Linked DNA regions of Tribolium castaneum. The protein of the gene in region 1 interacts with the protein of each later gene in a pairwise test. Links are inferred from orthologs where the notes say so. Each region holds a gene or a part of one and is shown in the gene's direction. Other genes may lie near its edges.

The links.
Region 2: the proteins of syd (region 1) and Klc interact in binary tests that used the Caenorhabditis elegans proteins (3 or more experiments, as listed by UniProt). The link is inferred for Tribolium castaneum from reciprocal best matches to the Caenorhabditis elegans genes unc-16 and klc-2.

What each region holds. Positions count from the first base shown.
Region 1 is NC_087394.1:36,807,994-36,811,748, forward strand, and holds the start of syd (JNK-interacting protein 3), read left to right. Parts: upstream 1-1,023; 5' UTR 1,024-1,220; coding exon 1,221-1,445; intron 1,446-1,490; coding exon 1,491-2,198; intron 2,199-2,428; coding exon 2,429-2,498; intron 2,499-3,755. Other genes in the region: myeloid differentiation primary response protein MyD88, read left to right, coding at 12-180, 563-890. UniProt on the Caenorhabditis elegans protein: The JNK-interacting protein (JIP) group of scaffold proteins selectively mediates JNK signaling by aggregating specific components of the MAPK cascade to form a functional JNK signaling module.
Region 2 is NC_087402.1:3,660,457-3,664,211, forward strand, and holds the start of Klc (kinesin light chain), read left to right. Parts: upstream 1-1,207; 5' UTR 1,208-1,233; coding exon of another isoform or gene 1,234-1,250; intron 1,251-1,668; 5' UTR 1,669-1,741; coding exon 1,742-1,770; intron 1,771-1,931; coding exon 1,932-2,148; intron 2,149-3,755. UniProt on the Caenorhabditis elegans protein: Kinesin is a microtubule-associated force-producing protein that may play a role in organelle transport. The light chain may function in coupling of cargo to the heavy chain or in the modulation of its ATPase activity.

The sequences.
Region 1 (3,755 bases):
TTTTTACACAGAAAGTCAAAGGAAAATTATTCCTTGCATTTATAAAAATCTAACAACGAATCCGCCACATATGAAGTGTCTCTTCACTTTGGATTTTCAACGAATGGCTGCTTTCAATGTGTGGGATAAGTTACGTGATTCGATCAGAGTGGTCAGTGCGGAAAAATTCAAAGTTAACAGGTATTGCCTACTTGATTTTTGTTACTTTGAATAAAATTTTTGATCAAGTAGACTTTGACTGAAATTAAGTTGGTAACATTTGCTATCGTCTGTTTTTAAGGTAAGGCTGTTTTTTCACTAACACACTAAATATTTGATTTTTGGGTTGATTTCCTGCAATTTTTTGCATATTTTTGTGTTGAATGTTCGAAAAAGTAAAAAATAAACCCATTTTCTAATCATTTCGGCGATTTCTGGATTCAATTTACCATTTACTACATAATTATTGAACAGAATGTTCGGGGAAATACTCAAACGACTTAAGTTCAGTGTTGGCAACTTAATTTCAGTCATAGACCACTTCGATTAGAGTTCAATTAATTCAATGCGAGTGTAATTGCAGGTCCCAATCCGACAATGGTCAAGTGTTGAGGTCCGCTTTACATCAGAGGGACCCTATCGGTCTCAGACCGTTAAATCACGGCGTAAAATTTAGCAGTAGTGTAGGTGATTTGAAAAGCACAGAGGCTATAAGCGAACCACCGCTCAATCCCAGTACAAGTGCCGACAATTTAGAATCGTGTTCGGAACAGAAAAAAGAGAAGAAAACCACTTTGTTGAAAAAAATCAAAGGCCATTTCAAGCGAGATAAAGATTGCTCATCCAAGGCGGAAAAAGGAAGCAAAGGATTGAAGAAACACTTGAAGCGAGCCACAGCCGTCGCGAACTGATGCATTTTATTTGTGATTTGTGTAAATAAGTGCAATTATTTTTAATAAATATGATTGAATTTGTTGTGGGGATTTTCATTTTGTCACCAAACCCTAGTTACTGCGCAAAATATGATTTGGCAACAAAGCAGTGGCAAAAATGACAGTTGTTCCTCCAGCCCGATTTTTGTCATCATAAACAGTGGGTGTAACAAAAAATCGCACACTTTTCCATCACCAGTGCCCCCAGAATGTGCCCCACGTTGTAAAATCATCACAACACAATGTTCCCTCAAGTGACAATGTGCTATTCTTGATTGGGCAAAAGTAGGTTGAATAGTTGGTTAAATAATGGATTTGGCTGACTCCGGCGGTGGTCTTGGACCCGAGACCATCTACGGGACGCACGAGGACTCCCATGTGGTGATGTCGGAGAAGGTGCAATCGTTGGCTGGTAGCATCTACCAGGAGTTCGAACGAATGATCGCACGCTACGACGAAGACGTCGTCAAGACCCTCATGCCCCTGCTGGTGAACGTGCTGGAGTGTTTGGACGCGGCGTATCAACAGAACCAGGTACTTGACTCAATTTTAGTGAATTTAAACCGAGAGTTTGGTTAGGAGCACGACGTGGAGCTGGAGCTGCTCCGCGAAGACAACGAGCAGTTGGTCACGCAGTACGAGCGCGAGAAGGGGGCGCGCAAAGCCGCCGAGCAGAAACTCCTAGAGTTTGAAGACGCCGCCGAAGGGGAGCGCAAGGAGTTGGCCGCACGGCTCGAAGCGCTGGAAAGCATCGTCAGGATGCTGGAGCTGAAGCACAAGAACTCGATGGAGCATGCGGGACGTTTGGAGGAGCGTGAAGGGGAGTTGAAGAAGGAATACGCCAAGTTGCACGAACGCTACACCGAGTTGTTCAAAACACACATGGACTACATGGAGCGGACGAAGTTGCTGCTTTCTGGACAACAGCTGGCCAATGAGCGGGCCGAAGCCGGCCGTTTGAACTCGAATCGGATTAATATAGGGCGCAGTTCGGGGCCCATCTCCTTCGGGTTCACCTCCTTGGAGAATGCCGAGGTGGTGGACAGTGTTCCGTCGTCGCCGATTAGTAGTACGCATTCGTCGCCGAGTTTGCACAGCGAGTTGGATAATTTGGACAAGAAGATGGTGGAAAGGGGGCAAGAGACTGATTCGCTCAATTTGGAAAATAAAAGTGTGATAACATCGCCGGTGAGTCCCCCAGGTCAACCGACAACTAACAATAATACGGGGAGGTTGAAGAAGGAACAAAGGAGTGGGAACACGTTGTATCAAGAGTTGAGTTTTCAGGTTGGTTGATTGTCTTTTGCTAAGGGTCAGTGCACATGATGGGGTCAAAGAGCGTGAATTATCGGGCGTTTGAGAGATTTTAATGTTTGTTGATTTATCTCACCTTGGGTAAAATATCAAAGCTTTTATGCAAATATTTACAAGAAATAACAAAAGATTAACTATGTTTTTTTATTATTATTATCTTGTTGTGTGTTGTAATATCTGTTTTTTTTATTATTTTATGATAGGATGTGGATGGCGATGATGATGGTGACATAACCGGAGGTTGGGTCCATCCAGGTGAATACGCTTCATCAGGTAAGCATATACAGAGTGACTGGGAAAAAGCATGAAATTTTTTCACTACTTTTGGCTCGCACCTCATTTTTTGACAAGAAAATCATAATAATTTATGCCAAATAAATAACTGCTACAGAAACACAATTATTACGTTAAAAAGTAAAAACAAAATGTGAGTTAACAGTTTTCGGACACTTTATTGATAAAAGATTAATTTCAAGCTATTTAAATTTTGTAGGAGAGAATCGTCTGTCTTCTTATGAATTAGTTTGTCGCCTTTCAATTTGCGATTACGTAAAATTTTCCTGTTGAACAAAGTGTAAAAAACCGAAAAAAATAGTTAAGTCACTATCAGCGGATGTATTATGAAACGTTTATTTTGTCTGTTTCCTCAATTTACTCGATTGTAGAACAAAATCTTTTAATGTATTCATAAACTAATATATTCAATTTCGGATACGAATATTTCTGGTCGTGGTTTGCTGTGGTTTTCTCTTTCTAGCATGAACGTAGGTTGCGTGATAAGTTGATTTGGTTTTCTGTCAACTGTTTAAATGTTGTCTTATTTTTGCATTTAGGAGTTTTTGATAAAAATCATATTGAAAATCATCATAATTGTATGTAGGCGTTTAAGAATTTTCTCTGCAAGCTCAATTGAACGTGTGAATTTTTGGCCTGACACTGACAGCTGTCATTTGTCATTGTTTTGTAATGTTAACCGAGACATACGTTTTTTGCTTTTTTAGAGTTTTTGTTTTTTTCTAGAGCAATAATATAAAAAAAAACTTCTTGTAAAACTGAATTCGGTGTATTACCAAAAAATTTACAAAAAACAAAAACAAAATTTGCCCAAATTGTGTTCCACATTTTTCAGGACAATGAAAATCTTTCAAAAAAATTAATATTTATATTTAAAATTTGAAAGCTTCACGCTAGTATAATTAATAGAAACAAGTCTAATAATTTCGGGTAATAAGCATATTTTTTTATCGAAGCACCAAATAATCAGGACTCATTTTTATCTTGAATTTTCGAGGTTTCGGTCAAGGTTCATTTCAATATCGCATATAAATCAAGCTCTGAAAATGCTTATCTACATTTTCGTCAATTTCAAAACTCTATTCTGGTCAAAGTGTCAAAAAATTCCACAGAAATTTTGAAATTTCTACATAAAATGTAACGAAAATTAACTATTTCTCTTAATTTTTGCTGGAAATTCCGAATTCACCTCTTGATTTACACCAATGTTGATCTAAATTTCGTAATTTTCAGTTT
Region 2 (3,755 bases), on another chromosome or scaffold:
AGGTTTTTCAGGGCGCGCACCGAGACTGAGGCCACGTAAGCGTCGCGGCGCGAATCGATGTCGTCGAACCGGCGCAATGCCACGGCCATATCGATCACCACAATGCGACACGATTATTTTTATAGCGCACGCCACTGCTCGCCCGGAAAATTACAAACCCCGCAAACACGCCTCCACTGGTTTATTTGAACAGACCGCGCAGTCACGTGACACCAGCGCTGCCTTCGTACAAAAAAAAATAAAAAGCGTGCTCGATTGTTTATGGAAATTGGATGTTACGTCATGCTTTTACTGCAAAAATCGAACTGATAACGCTATCACCTACCTTTGTGGCTTACTAAAGTCATATAAAATGGTAGCGCCCTTCTGGACGATGACTCCCACAGAAGCAAAAACTAAAGAAAAAGGTCCGTTCAAGGGTCGATCAAGGAAAGTGTCCGGCTGGAGTTTGCTGCAAAAACACCGAGTTTGATTTATTTTTAGGCAGAAAAAATAAGCAAAAAGTATGCATGTAACGTGATCTCACCTTTTATTTGTAGCACCTTCCACGGACCATCTATGACCGAATTAACGCTCAAACAATTAGACGACACGTCAGACAAAGTACTAAACTAATTAAAATGCCAGTTTGAAGGCACAATTGGGGGAAAAACCAACAACACAGCTAAATTGCTGCTACTTTACTGAATCGCCATATGCAGATAGTCGCCTGACTTTTCGACGAACTCACAGGTGCGCACCCGCAACCGGACAAAACTTAAATCCCTAAATTGACACGAAAAAATCGGCTAAAACGGGCTTTGCCCTCTAAATTTGTCCACAGTCGTTTCGGCAAAGTGTTTAATTAATTACTGGGGTGTGTTTTGCAAGCCAGAACCCTGATTTGTGTTACTTTAACCCGGCTTAGTGGCACCCGGTAGGTGGCGCCCCTGATTTGGCAATCATCTGTCACTCTTCTAACACTGAGAGAAAAAGGAATGAGAAGAGAGTTATCAAAAGCGCAGCCATTAATGTCAGAAGAAAGTGATTGCAGTGTCAAAAATAGCCCAATTTGAGTGTTTTAACGCTTGGCTGCCAAATAAAGGTGAGTAAGCGTCCCCCCGATCGTTTGGGGGCACAGTTCAAGTGTCGGTGTCCTTCCTTCCGTTGGTCAATTTTTGTGATTTATTTATGTCGCAGGTTACGCTATGGTCTACTGATTGCCATAGCAGGTGAGCAGTGCATTCCCGTGGCATGGATGATAGCAACACGTAAGTATTTTTCAATCGTCACGCTTGGCAAAGTAACGAGGAAGCGCCCCTGTAAAAATCGGGCGTGAGTCACGGCTCGGAGTGTACGCCCCCGCCGTCACACGTGTATTGGTTTCCGATCGAAAGGGGTGCAAATTTCTGATGGGGTTCGTCGGGCTATGGGGCGCAGGCGCGGCGTCGCGACGCAGTACGTTTGATGCACCGACGTCAGTTTTCGCGTTTTTACCGAAAGTGGCACACCCTTTTTCGAGCTATGGGGTGGAAAGGGAAGGCGGCGTGATGTTCTAGGGGGCCTTATTATTGATTGCGGGGGTGATCGTTGACCAAAAATATATTTTTGCATTGTCTCATATTCCGTCTTGTGATAACGCCTTGCACTTTTACAATAATCAAAAATATAAATAAGGTTTTTGTATAGACGCTCAATTTAAACGATCGTGAGGTGATGAACGAGGTGCTCATTGGAATTAAGAGGACGCATTCGAAAAAACATGTCTAAAACGATCAACGCGTATAGGATGTAAGTTGGTTTTGTTTTCAGTTCAAGCTTTTGTGTTCTTGTGGCGGTCTTGCTTGCCTTTCGTTTGTGCTACTTGAAATCCGGCGTTTTTTCTACAAATTTCTAACCTAATTGTGGCATAATTCCGCCGCCACTTCCTTGAAGTTGTCGTTTATTTCCAGTAAGAAAATTGAAAGTTTGGGAAAAATGACGGCGATGTCGCAGGAAGAGATCGTCTCAGCTGTGCGAACGGTGGCTCAGGGGTTGGAGGCGCTCCGCTCAGAGCACGCCGGCATCCTCCATGGCCTCCACGAAGCCCCCGATCCGGTGGCCAATGAACGCGCCGGTCTGGTGCAACAAAGTGCAGAAATGATCGAATTGGGACTGGGAGAAGCGCAAGTATGTTCTATTTTTCTTTCTAATCAGATAAAATCGTCGGTGTGTGAGAGACGAAAGGGGCACCCGATTGCATCGATCGGGGAGCACCGATGACTCATACTAAGGCGAGTGGGGAGGGAAGGAAAAGGAAGGAGAGTGTCGAAGCCAATTGATGACTTTCTAAAATTGGATTTAATTTATTTTGTCGCGGTTCTATTATTTTCGACGGGATTTCAGATGCCAATCGATTATAATTGGAGGATTAAGATAAGAGATTGGGTTGTAATAAACCATGAAATGATTGTTTGTTTGTTTTGAATGAGAGATAAAAAAGAAATGGCGGCCTAATTCCGGGTTTAATTTGTTTTATTTGAAAAAAAAAATAAATAAATAATTAAAAATTGTGAAAGTCGTACTTGGATTACGAGTTGTAGAAACTAACAATTATTTAACTGTAACAAACCATGCAATTTAAAAGTTAAATGGTAAATTTGACCTAGAACTTGAAGTTTTCTTCTATAATTACAGATAAAAATACCTGATTAAAACTGAAAAAAATCTTCTTATAAGTCAGTTTATACCGGTCTTGAGTAAATTACATATGATATTATTTCACAACCTACCCAAAAATTATATTGTCATTAGATTGTGTACCCACGATTTTAATTAAAAAATTTAAAAAATAATTATTGAGACCAAAGTACAATATTCAGTTTTATTGTTGATTGTTCATAAAAATCTCATTTGCTTGTAATAACGTCATCACTGTCATTACATGCATAAGAATAATAAGTTTGGTGATGAGTTTATTCATGAATTTGCTTCAATAATATTCACAATACTTCCAAGTGTCTTAAATATCTTTTGAATGATACTTTTGAAGGTGACGAAACAACAATTATTATTGTTAAATCATTATACTTTTACCATATTTCTTAACAAAAATTGGGTGTTTACAAATTAAAATCTGTATCAATTAGACTTTCTTTCTGCTCATCGAGCTTTAAATCTCGTGGGATGATTATTGATGATGTTTATTGCGGTTTTTATGTCCTCACCCTATCCTTTTGTTTTTCTATTTCCACGTTTTTTATTCAAACGTTGTTTTTCGTTCTTGGTTTCCAGGAAAAACAAGTTTTTATGGCTTTGGTTATAGGGCTGTAAAAAACTTGGTGCCTCAAGTATGTTCGATATTTTTTGTATAACATGATGGCCTGTTTCGGTAAATAATTGTTAAATTAACACTAAAAAGTTCTTCGTTTGGCAGCCTGTAATCAAATTAATTTAAGCCGATCGTAAAATTGAGATAATTTCATCGTCTTATTGTAGCAAGTGTCATAAAAATAATTCGCTTTTGTTTGTTAATTTACTTATTAAACTGAATTTTTTCTTTCTGACATAATTAACTCCTGCTGATGCCTGATTTTAAAAATGAAACCACTGACCACAAAAATACAATAATTATAGTCTCTTGTAACGAAAAAAAGTCGCGTGTTCGAACTGTCCTTGGACAAGTCTCCTCACTGATTTTTTAAATTGTTACTCAAAATCAATGAAAGTAATTAAATTTGTGAATTTAAACACCGTGAAAGGGATTTTGCTTCCAGGGAAACGCATTAATTGGTAGA